Linked DNA regions of Schizosaccharomyces pombe. The protein of the gene in region 1 purifies or fractionates together with the protein of each later gene. This does not show direct contact. Each region holds a gene or a part of one and is shown in the gene's direction. Other genes may lie near its edges.

Evidence for each region. Proteins that work in one complex are often made in the same cells at the same time.
Region 2: the proteins of hsp9 (region 1) and rad25 purify together in Schizosaccharomyces pombe (affinity purification with western blotting, with the first as the bait; one study listed by BioGRID). This does not show direct contact.

The regions. Positions count from the first base shown.
Region 1 is NC_003424.3:5,318,632-5,323,782, reverse strand, and holds hsp9 (plasma membrane heat shock protein Hsp9), read left to right. Parts: upstream 1-3,106; 5' UTR 3,107-3,177; coding exon 3,178-3,384; 3' UTR 3,385-3,826; downstream 3,827-5,151. Other genes in the region: ski7 (ski complex-interacting GTPase), read right to left, coding at 1-471, 532-1,005, 1,061-1,256; zip3 (ZIP zinc transporter 1), read right to left, coding at 4,483-5,151.
Region 2 is NC_003424.3:3,581,467-3,587,729, reverse strand, and holds rad25 (14-3-3 protein Rad25), read left to right. Parts: upstream 1-2,888; 5' UTR 2,889-2,950; coding exon 2,951-3,017; intron 3,018-3,734; coding exon 3,735-4,480; 3' UTR 4,481-4,602; downstream 4,603-6,263. Other genes in the region: vacuolar CorA family magnesium ion transmembrane transporter Mnr2, read right to left, coding at 1-1,295; rrp1 (ATP-dependent DNA helicase), read right to left, coding at 4,814-6,263. UniProt on the Schizosaccharomyces pombe protein: Acts in cell cycle and stress checkpoint signaling by sequestering signal transducers regulated by the checkpoints. Required for the DNA damage checkpoint that ensures that DNA damage is repaired before mitosis is attempted.

The DNA.
Region 1 (5,151 bases):
CTGTGTTCATTACTTGAAACAAACTTGAATGTTTTAGAAAATTATCTCGAGAACTTGCATTAGTAGTGAAGATTCCTAAAGGAAAATCAATAATAGTTGAGGAGTAACTGTTGGAAAATGTTTCAAAATCATACCATTTCGTTTTGGTGGACTTTAGCACTGAGCTCAAACTTTCTTTTTTGGCATTCAGTACTGTACATTTTTGCATGGTTTTGGGATCAAATGATCCAATTTGAAAAAATAATCTAGAAAGGAGTGTTTTTTTACCAGACTTGGGCGGGCCCAACAACAAGAGTTTCGTTCGAGGCTTTACTAATTTGGAAAGTTCAATTAACTGATCTTGGGAAAGTAAGGTGTGATCATTATTTGAATCATTAGTATTTTTTTGAGGTTTCAATTGTTGAGAAACTTTCTTCATTGACTTTACAGAGTTTAGCAATTGCTCGTCCAAACGTTTGTGTTTTTGGAAACCTGTTTAACAATTAGCGCGAAAAAAAAAGGAAAAGATGAATTGAAGGAGACAAAGCATACTTTTAGATTTAGATTGAGCCATCAAAACTATGTCGTCAGGGCTAGGGGCGTTAAATCCTAAAAGTGAACTTTTGCTTAGATGAATCTCAATTTGGTCCTCAAAAACGCGCTTCTTTGCGCCTGTAAGACATTTCGCAAATGAGGAAGGAGGAGCTAATTTTACCTCTTGGGGGTTCTTCTTCAGTTGGTCGCTTTCCACCATTTGTTTTTGGAGTGTGGTTTTATCATCATCGTCAGTAAGATGAATTTCATGAGACGATGGTTGTTCAGAGTCTTTCTTCTCTGCAATGCGAACCTTTCGAAACCTTTGCAACAAAAAATCATTTTCAACGTTTTTCTTATGTTTAGCTTGAATAGGCTCTTTTTCCTTTTCCTTTTCGGTTTTAGGCGGCTGCTGTTGAGTGGATGGAAAAGAAGAATGCAATTTTTTCCGTTCAGCGGCGAGTAATGCGAGCTTGGATGTTTTTTGTTTCTCTATGAATGTTAATTTCTAGTTCTCCACTTTTTGTGACTAATTATAATGGCGTACCTGGAACTACAAAGTTAGTGTCGTTAATTGTGTCACGTTCTTGATGGTCATTTGTGCTGGAGGATGGAAAAAAGTTGGGAGAATCAGAACTTGAAGAGGAGTCTTGTTTTAGGATAGAAGAAAGACCGATGGGATGTTCAGACGGAGGTTTTTGTTTTGCTTTTTTGGAGTTTAACAACTGAGACAACCTAGACATATTTCTAAATGAAAATGATGGATCGAGACAAAAAAATTACTCATTAAATAAGTCTATAATAATATACAAAATGCAAATCAATTGCTCAAAAGCTCATTAGCATGTATGCGTAAAATGTTAAATTGGAAGGTGGATGACGAGAAGTTAGGATGGATTAAGCGAATCAGATATACTGTATATAGTCAGATGGAAAATTGGGTGGTATGATAGACATACTCGAATGAGAAAGGTTTTGGTATGTATACAAGTAAGCAAACAGATTCAAGTTGATGATTAGTGGACTGAAACAAGCGAAAAGAAAAAGGCAAACAAGAAGTATATAAGTGAAGGAGTTGTGGAAAGGAATACCATAACAATGAACGAAAAGAAGTGAAACGGAGAGATAAAATACAAAGATGAATGAAATTTAAAAAAAAAAAAAAATAATAATAATAAAGGAGTAAACGAATTATTCAAGAAAAGAAAATGGAATGAATATTAAAAAGAAAAAACGAGTATGAAGCGAAATCCCTAAAAAAAAACGAGTAAATAAAAGAAAAGGAAGAACGATTGAGTTGAATTTACTTTTTTTTGCTTTGGTGATTGGACTACATTCAAAAGAGTTTTTGTTGAGAATGGGTATAATAGAAGATGGCCAGTTTATTTTATTCTTTCACTTTCTTTCTTTGTTTTAAAAAAAAAAAAATTAATAAAGAGAAACAAAATATTGAAACCATCTCGAAATGCTGTAATGAATAAATAAATTAAATAAAATAAGAAAAAAAATAAAAAAATTTCTATAAAGTTAAAAATAAATAAAATAAAATCAATTTAAAAAAAAAAAAAAAGAAACCAAAAAACGTCGAGCCATTCCTACTTTTGCTCATGTTCTCATCTCACATTTCTCACGTATCATCTTTTCTTCTCTACTTCGGGTTACACACCTTGGGTTACGCTTCCTAAAAGATTATAAATGGTCTTTAGCTACACCTTACTTCTCCTTATTATTGATTTAACAAAACCATCATTGCAGTTCGTCTAACAAAATAATGGTTTACCAACTCTCTATTGCGTAGTTGTGTAATCCGCAGTTTGCAGCATCTCGTAATATTCCCTGCTTATAACGGAATTTCACGATGTATCGCATGCAATACGTGCGGCGTTGAAACAATTGTGTTATTGTGCGCAGTGTGTGTAATACCTGAATGAGATTGCCTCTACTAAGCCATACTCACTTTGAACATGGTTGTGGTTATCTTTTAAATAACGTTTTGCAAAGTGTTATTGTTTTTGCTCTAATTGTTTTTTTTTTCAACAAGTGAAGTTCCCCTATTTAGATCAAAATTTCATCACCCAATAACAACACCATCATGCAAAGAATACTTCGGAATTTTAAAAGACAAAGAAAACTTCTTAAAATTTATTTACAGAAATAAGTTTGTTTCCTAAGGGATACTCACTCTAAAGACAAGATGCACTTCCCCTTCTTCCTCTCTTTCTCTCTCTCTCTCTCTTTGAACTAGTACCACCACTTCGCTTCTCTCCACTTTGAACCTCTAACCTAGCGAGGGTTTTACCGTACTCGCTATCTCGCTTTGCAAATCCACAAAGCTTCTGTATTACATCATAAGAAAGTAGAGTGGGCGCTCATTGGAAATAGCTTACGTAGCTCAGAAAACGAATGGTGCGAAGAAAAGGGGCTTTGCTAGAAGCTGCTCATTATTTGTCTGATTGGATAGCGAGCTATCTGATAGAAAACTACGTAATTCCTTGGATCGCAGTTTTCTCCAGTTTCTAATGCTAACTGACGCAAATGTGATGTAATGGGCTGCGATCATAATGACATGAGCAATTGGACAAGAAGCTATAAATACGAGTCCAAGTTCAACAGTTTAATCATTCAATTCAATTCCAATCAATTTAATTGTCTTAAATATTCAAAATGTCTGATCCCGCAAGAAAGTCTTTTACTGAACAAGGCAAGGAGAAAATGACTCCTGACTCCTCCAAGTCTACCCTCGACAAGGCCAAGGAATCCATTACTGGTGCCTACGACAAGGTCGCCTCTGCTTTTACCTCTGACGAGGACAAGAGCACCTCTCAAGAGGCTCATGACAAGGCTCAACGCTTTGTTGATGACAAGTTGTAAAGAGGTTCTTATGACTTAAAATTCATGCTTTTGGCTGGTGAAACTCAATCCACCAAAGCATCGGGATGATTTCTTTACCGATGAACGGACGAAAATGGTTTGAGGTCTCCTCAATTTAGTAGGTAGTGGTTGGATTGTTTTTATGAACGATCCATCTCATCACTTTCTAATGCGAGGTTGCATCCTTGACCAATTACCATCTAATTTTATGATATATAACGAGGTTACGTGATACCATCATATATATATATTTGCTCGACTTTTTTTACAAATTTTTTTCAAAAAGTGGGTGCTTATATATTCTTTGGTTCAAAATCTTTATCGATTTGAAGTAATGAAATATATTTTCCCTTATACCCTATATACTTTTTACTACCATATCTAGCAACTGTATTGTTTACATATAAGTAACGAGTAACTTAAAAACAGTACTGTAAAACAGTTAGTAGTTGTGACTTGGGTAACAAGTGTTTTCATCCACTGTTTGACATAGGAATGTTACAATGATGAAAACTCAAAACATTAGGATGGTGATAGAAACAACGGTAAAAAAGTTAGGATGTTTTGTTTATTGCCCTTGAATTCTTACTCGTTTCCTTTACCCTTATAATAATAATATTCCATATAGTTTTAGTCTTGTCAGGTTTGGTCAAAACGTGTTTTCGCTTATGAAAAGCAAAAACATTGAATGTTATTTTAAATTGGCATTATTTGTTTACTCTCAATGCCGATTGTTTACAATCTTTTCTGTCAGCTAGAATAGAAACAGGTTATGGAAAAGAAATAAAAATACTCTTAAACGATTTAAAGCGCGTAAATTTTGAAATAAGAGGGATCAAAAATTACAAGTTTGAACACGAAAGCGCCTTATGTGAATGTGAACAACTTAATTCTACCATAATAATTAACAAGTTAATAAAAGAACTAAAATAATGTTTCTACACATCTTCATAAATGTGTAATTTTTTAATATTAAATGTAAAGACAAAGCACAATGCCAGAAAAAATGAAGGACAAAAAATATTAGTCCCGATTTATATTTCTAGAATAGTACAATATCAACTCCATACCACGCCCTAATGTAAGTTATCTGTCACTTTAAACATAATATAAAAAAGAAAAACCTCCAACAATAAACATCATGTACAATGCCGTGTAAATCATATTTCCCAGCTTTCCTTTTGATAAGTTGATTTCCAAAAGCTCGGGAAATACGCCTAGGTAAGCTATATAAAGGAAACCACCAGCCGTGAAAGGAAGGAGTTTATCCTCAAGTTGTAGAAGGAAAGAACCATATGGTGAAGATGAAGATGAAGCAGTGTATATATATGTAGCGACAATTGCTCCCAATAATCCCGTCACCATAGTGATCATTTGCAACACGAGTACTTGCGATTTCGTATACCCATTTCTCAGAAGTATAGCCAAGTCACCAATTTCTGCTGGAATTTCGTGTAATAGAACAGCAAATGTGGTGGATATGCCAATGGAGGTATTGGTAAAGAAGGCGGAAGTGATCGCCAAACCGTCCATAAAATTATGAAATGAATCACATAACAAATTTAAATATACCACAGTTTTGTCGTTATACTCTTCACTAACTTCTTCAACTACATGTCTAATCAAATCAGGCTCGTGACCTTTAGAGTTCTGATCATCTTTGACATTTCGTTTCCGCAATCCTTCCACTCCTTTAACGTCAGTTTGAGTTGAAGAAGCAGAAGGTTTGTTTACACTTGAAGTCTCTTCACCGTCTTTCTTTGGCTT
Region 2 (6,263 bases), 1.7 Mb from region 1:
TGCTCAATGAATGGAGCGAAAGCATCTGTAGTATCGTCCAGCAATGCATATGCGATCCAATCTGCATTCACTGTCAGATAACCATTCAGTTGACGAATCCTTCGACGAACATTAGCTGGATGCGGTGTCGGGTTCATATGAAAAGTAATTATACCGTCACGAAAGACGACTAGATAAAAATTCAACGGCTTTAGGTACTCAGAGTTTGAGGGTAATTGGTTGAATGAACGGAAGGTAACAAAGTAATACGTTCTAAAAAGCTCGACTTTTTCACGATCCTCTTCGAGAGTAATATCTTCAACGGTTAAAGGATGGATTCCAAAAGCCTTTGCCAGAACTCGAATTTCTTCTTCCTTTGGACAAGAGACATCTAGCCACCAAGTTCCTCCAGAATGGAAAAGGTCCTCAAAGCTTTGGCCATCGTGAACGAGTTCCCACATTTCATGTGAATGGATAGTAGAAGGAAGCTCATCGGTAAAGAATGTAAATCGATATGGTTTTTCAATTTCTGACTTACGAAATTGAGCCCAACGATCACGAACACGATAACGGCCATTTACAAGTAACGGTTCACTCAACTTCCTATTTCTTTCACGACGCTTATCAACATCTTCTACCGAATATTCTTCAAAATTGGCAACCATCTTTTTGGTCCATTCATCAAGGACAGAAAACTTTGGTTCTTGAGCATTGTTTGGAGATATGGGTAAATACAACTCATCCCGAGATAACTTTCGAGTAGCCGGATGATCATCAACAGCACTCTCAGTCACGTCGTTGTTTGCAAACTGTTCATAGTGACTATCATGAGAATTAGCTGATTTAGGGTAGACATGGGGGGATGAAATAGCAAAGTCACTGACCTCAGCAAGTGGACTAGGTTGATCTCTTGTATTCTTCCCATTTTCCGTCTCAAATTCTTTCCTTTGAATGTCCTCTGGATGGCTTTCCGGCAGTGATATATTTTCGATGTCTTCATCGCTTTCATAGTGACGGTGTGGACTTTTCGGGGAAGAACAAACAGAACTAGGCATTGAAGGAGGGTTATTAATATCCTTGTCATCTTCCCCATTACTTGAATGCTCAGACGGTGGTTCTAATAGATCACTATCACTGTTTCCCAATAATCTTGTTCCCTCATCCGCTTCGTCTGGTTGCAAACTAGGGTCCACTGGAAATCGATGTTTAGATTTACTCGAGTGTTTACGATCAGAAAATCTAGGCCTGTTCTGCATCCTAGCATTTTGTTTGTAATAAAAGCCCGTAGGCACTGACCGGGATGTATTGGATGGCATAATTCAAACAGGATTATGGATGCTAAGAATTGACAGGTTGTATAGCAATGAATGTATTATTCTTGGTTTATCAAAATAGTTATAATGCCAAAGAGATCGAATAGCGTTTGGTTTAACAAACTAACGGTTTGTGGATTATTTATATAATTACTCTATTGGTGAGAAAGAGAGGATTTCTGCCCACATTTGATTGAGAGGTTTGAATTTATTAAAAATATTTAAAGAATAATTTCACAAAACTCAAACAACAGAGGAAATGCCAATTTTTAGAGATGTGTTGTTGAGGTGTGGCAGCTAAGACGCTTATCATTGATATGGAAGGCAATTTTTTAAAGACCCCCAAATCATATACCAGACAAAATACAGTATCTTTAAGCATAGTTTTGTTTAATTTCATCAATATTTTTGAAGTGTATTTGTAAGAATCCAATGCAGCATAATTAAATTCATTTCCGGCCTACACATATTGAACCAGGTTCAAATTGGTGCAAATTAATTATTTTCTTGTAAGGATGAATAGAATTGGTTAGTAAATTCTGCTGAAGTTGCACATAAGAGGACGGTTTTGTTTACTAGACAAAATAAGTACCGCGACTTATAAAAAATCTTATCCCAACCAGATTGTCCCTTGTAACAATTTAAAATCCTACTTTTCGTATTACCGCGCAATCAAGTTGCCCACAACGGGACTGCAGCATTGCAGTAGAAACCCCATCAAACGTGTAAGTGAAATGAGCGAACAATAACCCTGAAATTATAAAGTCGTATTATCTTGTTTAAATCAACTCATACCTTTTTCATATAAGAATATCGTATTGTTTCAGGATAACAGAAACAATTTCAGGGAAACTTGAAAGGTTTATGATAAACGCAGTATGCAATTTTAGAACAACGAGAATTAAAAAACTTTACATTTAAGCCAAGAAGTATTAAGTTTAAAATACACAAGTTGAAGGAGCAATTAATCAGCACAATGTAATTTGATCTTTTTTGTTCGTAAAATTACCGTTTGCGGTAATCACCAATCTGTGATGACAACGCCGAAAAGCAGCTTACATAATAACACACACTTTTCAGCTCACTGTACTCCTTTGTAGTCAATGTAATATAATGGAATTTCGCCGCCTCCTACGGATATTCAAGCATATCGCATATGCCATCGAAAACTAAAGAAAAACGCCTTCTTCTTGAAGCTTCCTGCATAGAGTGATAAAAAACCTTCTAAAACTTCTTTGCCCCTAAAGTAAGCCTCTTGTTTCTGTCAAGCTTCCTCAATTATTGCACTCATTGTTTTAACTGTAATCTTTCACGCTTATGTTTGATACTTGGTATCTTGTTTTCGAAAGAAAAACTTATTGTAACATACTTTAAGACAGCAATTCCTCATTCAGTGAGTAAAAACGCGTTTTCTACCGAATTCCTATTGACACTGGGCATTTGTTTGGCATTTGTTTTTGGAAGCCTAATCATACGTGTAAGAAGTATTTTTACGATATTGTAAAAGAATAAGAGAGGTGTAGTGATGTTTCTGTTAGATATCCATAAATCTCAGTATAGTCCGTCATATATTCGGCTGACCAACCAACCTTCCCAACTTTCCTTTCTCACTTCTACCAACCTCAACTAACCACCGCTTTTAATAATTCCTTGCAAATATGAGTAATTCTCGTGAAAACTCGGTGTATCTCGCCAAGTTGGCCGAACAGGCTGAACGCTACGAAGGTATGTGATAAGGATCCGCTGTTGGAAGTAGATATAGCGTAATAGTACGAAATTGTCAATGAAGGGACCTTGATGAAAAGTTATTATATTGCAGTTTGCTACTGTATGTGGGAGTTCTTTGGTTTTTTAATATTGTTGGTCTTGAACAGGTTGCGTTGTTGAATGTTGCAAGGTTGTTTGTTTGATGCGGCTGAGAAAAAGAGGGGTTATGGGTTAGTACGTGGATGACTTGTGTATTTTAAAATGTCCCCAAAATCGCTTGATGAGGTTTAAAATGAGTTCTTACAACATTGTTTTGTTGTTGGACATGTTTATGATATCTGAGGTTATGGACAAGAACGGCTTGCAATTCTCTTGATTTTATGGTTTTCGTAATCATTATTTTTTGTCGCCTTTGTTCTATTTCCTACCTTGCTTCCTTTTTTCTCTTAAAACCACGATTGAACTGCCTTGATTGTCTTATCATTCTTATCTCCTCTTATGATTTGAGGTTTCTTTGTAACCACCAAGACAAAGAAATTCACTAACATCAGGAGTAACACGAAACACCGTTCTGTAGGTAAACCTCAACGCAATTAAGGATATTATTACCTTCATATCTTCACCATGCAATGATAACTCGTTTTGAATTACTGTTTGTTGACCCGTCTATACTTGGCTTTGCTTCTTTCATCTCTCCTTTTTGTTTTTGCTTCTTTGCTAACTGATAATGTATAGAAATGGTCGAAAATATGAAGAAAGTTGCATGCTCAAACGATAAACTTTCTGTTGAAGAACGTAACTTGCTTTCTGTTGCCTATAAAAACATCATTGGTGCTCGCAGAGCATCATGGCGTATTATTTCCTCTATAGAGCAAAAGGAGGAAAGTAGGGGCAACACTCGACAAGCCGCATTGATTAAAGAGTACCGTAAGAAGATTGAAGATGAGTTATCCGATATTTGTCATGACGTCCTTTCCGTCCTTGAAAAGCATTTGATTCCTGCCGCTACAACCGGTGAATCCAAGGTATTTTACTATAAAATGAAGGGTGATTACTATCGTTATTTGGCCGAATTTACTGTTGGCGAAGTTTGCAAAGAGGCCGCCGACAGCTCTTTAGAAGCTTACAAGGCAGCTTCTGACATTGCTGTTGCTGAGTTGCCTCCCACGGACCCTATGCGCTTGGGTTTGGCTCTCAACTTTTCCGTCTTCTATTATGAAATCCTTGACTCTCCAGAAAGTGCATGCCATTTGGCTAAACAAGTATTTGATGAGGCCATTTCAGAGCTCGATAGTCTTTCTGAAGAATCTTACAAAGACTCTACTTTAATCATGCAGCTTCTTCGCGATAACTTGACTTTATGGACTTCTGACGCCGAATACAACCAGTCTGCTAAGGAGGAGGCTCCTGCTGCCGCTGCTGCTTCTGAAAACGAACATCCCGAGCCCAAAGAGTCTACGACTGACACTGTTAAAGCTTGAAACTAAAGCGTTAGCATTTTATCAGTAAACGGATCCTAATGGTCTGATTACTTTTGCATATATGAACTGATACCTATGATTTATCTAATATTCGTAGCCATATAACAAAGTTATCTTCATTATATTCTTCTTGCACTTTATTTCTATCATTTATAAATTTATAACTTTGATTACGTTTCATGAGTAGTTAGTTTGGCTTTGTGGCCTTAAAACCATCAAAGCATACTATTATTATACATTGTACATGCGTTACACTACACCACCCCTTTTTTTAACGTTTAGTTTAGTATGCAGTAGAGTATAGTTCATTTGAGTAACGTTAACATTAAATAATCATGAATTAAGCCCAAATAGATATAGCAACTCTTCTTTGTCAAGTCTCGACAGAGGATTGTTTTCGTTTGAATCCAAAGCTTCTTTAACCAATTGACGCTTCTTACGTTGAACACTGACGATACGCTCTTCAATCGTATCTTTAGTAATAAACCTATACACGGTGACAGGCTTCTGCTGTCCAAGCCGATGAACACGATCTATTGCTTGATCCTCTATGCTCGGATTATAAAATGGTTCCTGTAGAATAACGTGATTTGCAATCGTCAAATTCAAACCCACGCTGCCGGCTTTCAATGAAACCAGCATGACTAAAACATCTTTATCGTTATTAAAAGAATGTAGGGACTTTTGCCTCTGGTTCGCAGACATAGTACCATCATAACGAACATGTCGTATATTTTCTAATTTTAGCATGTGCGATACGAGGCATAAATACTGGGAGAACTGAGAATAGACCAGAATTTTTTCGTTTCTCTTGGAGCCAATTATATCCAAAATTGTTTGTCTTGCTTGATTCAATTTCGAGGAGCTTTTCCATTCGCTCGCCCGCTTGCCAAATTTTTTGGTAAACATCTGGTCAATACGATTTTCCCACCTTAATTTAATGCTTTCTTGTTCTGAAAAAGATTGATTCATATCTAACTCTAATTGCTTTAAAGAGTTTAAAGGACCATGGATTGCTTGAAGGATAGTTGCATCAACTAATGAATCTTGAACTATATTACCTCTGCACATTGGGCACTTTGCTATGATCGTAGAAGTGCTTGATGATCCATACTTCTGGCCGACTAGCATGCTCATACACTCTTGACATGTAAAGTGCCCGCAAGGGATAATAAAAACGGGAGCCAAACAAGGATCCAAACAAACACTACAGTTGAAATCCTGTAGTGTAGCAATTCTTTCTATGGTCAAGGGATCCAAAGACTTGCAAGCATTTCTGACGTTTTCGGAATCTCTAATTCTAAAGCTGTTATCCAAGCTAGAACTCTTAACAAGCCATGGGTGACAACAAAATTGGCGAAGACGGAGTAAAGATACTAATAAGAACCCGTAGCGCGAAAGATCGTGATCATTGTTAAAATAGTTATCAACGAGCGATTGAGCACTAGACATTTGCTCATTGTAGAGCGCGCGTTCTTCAGGAAGAAGGTTCACGGAGACGGTACGGATGGTTTTTGGAGGAAGGTTGACAATAGGCAAATTATTAACCCTCGTCTCTTTAGTTCTACGAAAAACCGTAGAAGCCAAAAGGATGCGAAGACGTTTAAGAGCAGCTTCAACGATATCTGCACGATAACTTTTTAGCGGTCTGGAAATATCCTTAGCAAAAAGGCTCCACACGCAATATGGTTTTATTCTGAGGAACTTTAAGAGGCTGTAAAACTCATCAATATGGTTTTGTATGGGGGTTCCGCTTAGGCACCATCTATATTTGGCATCCAGT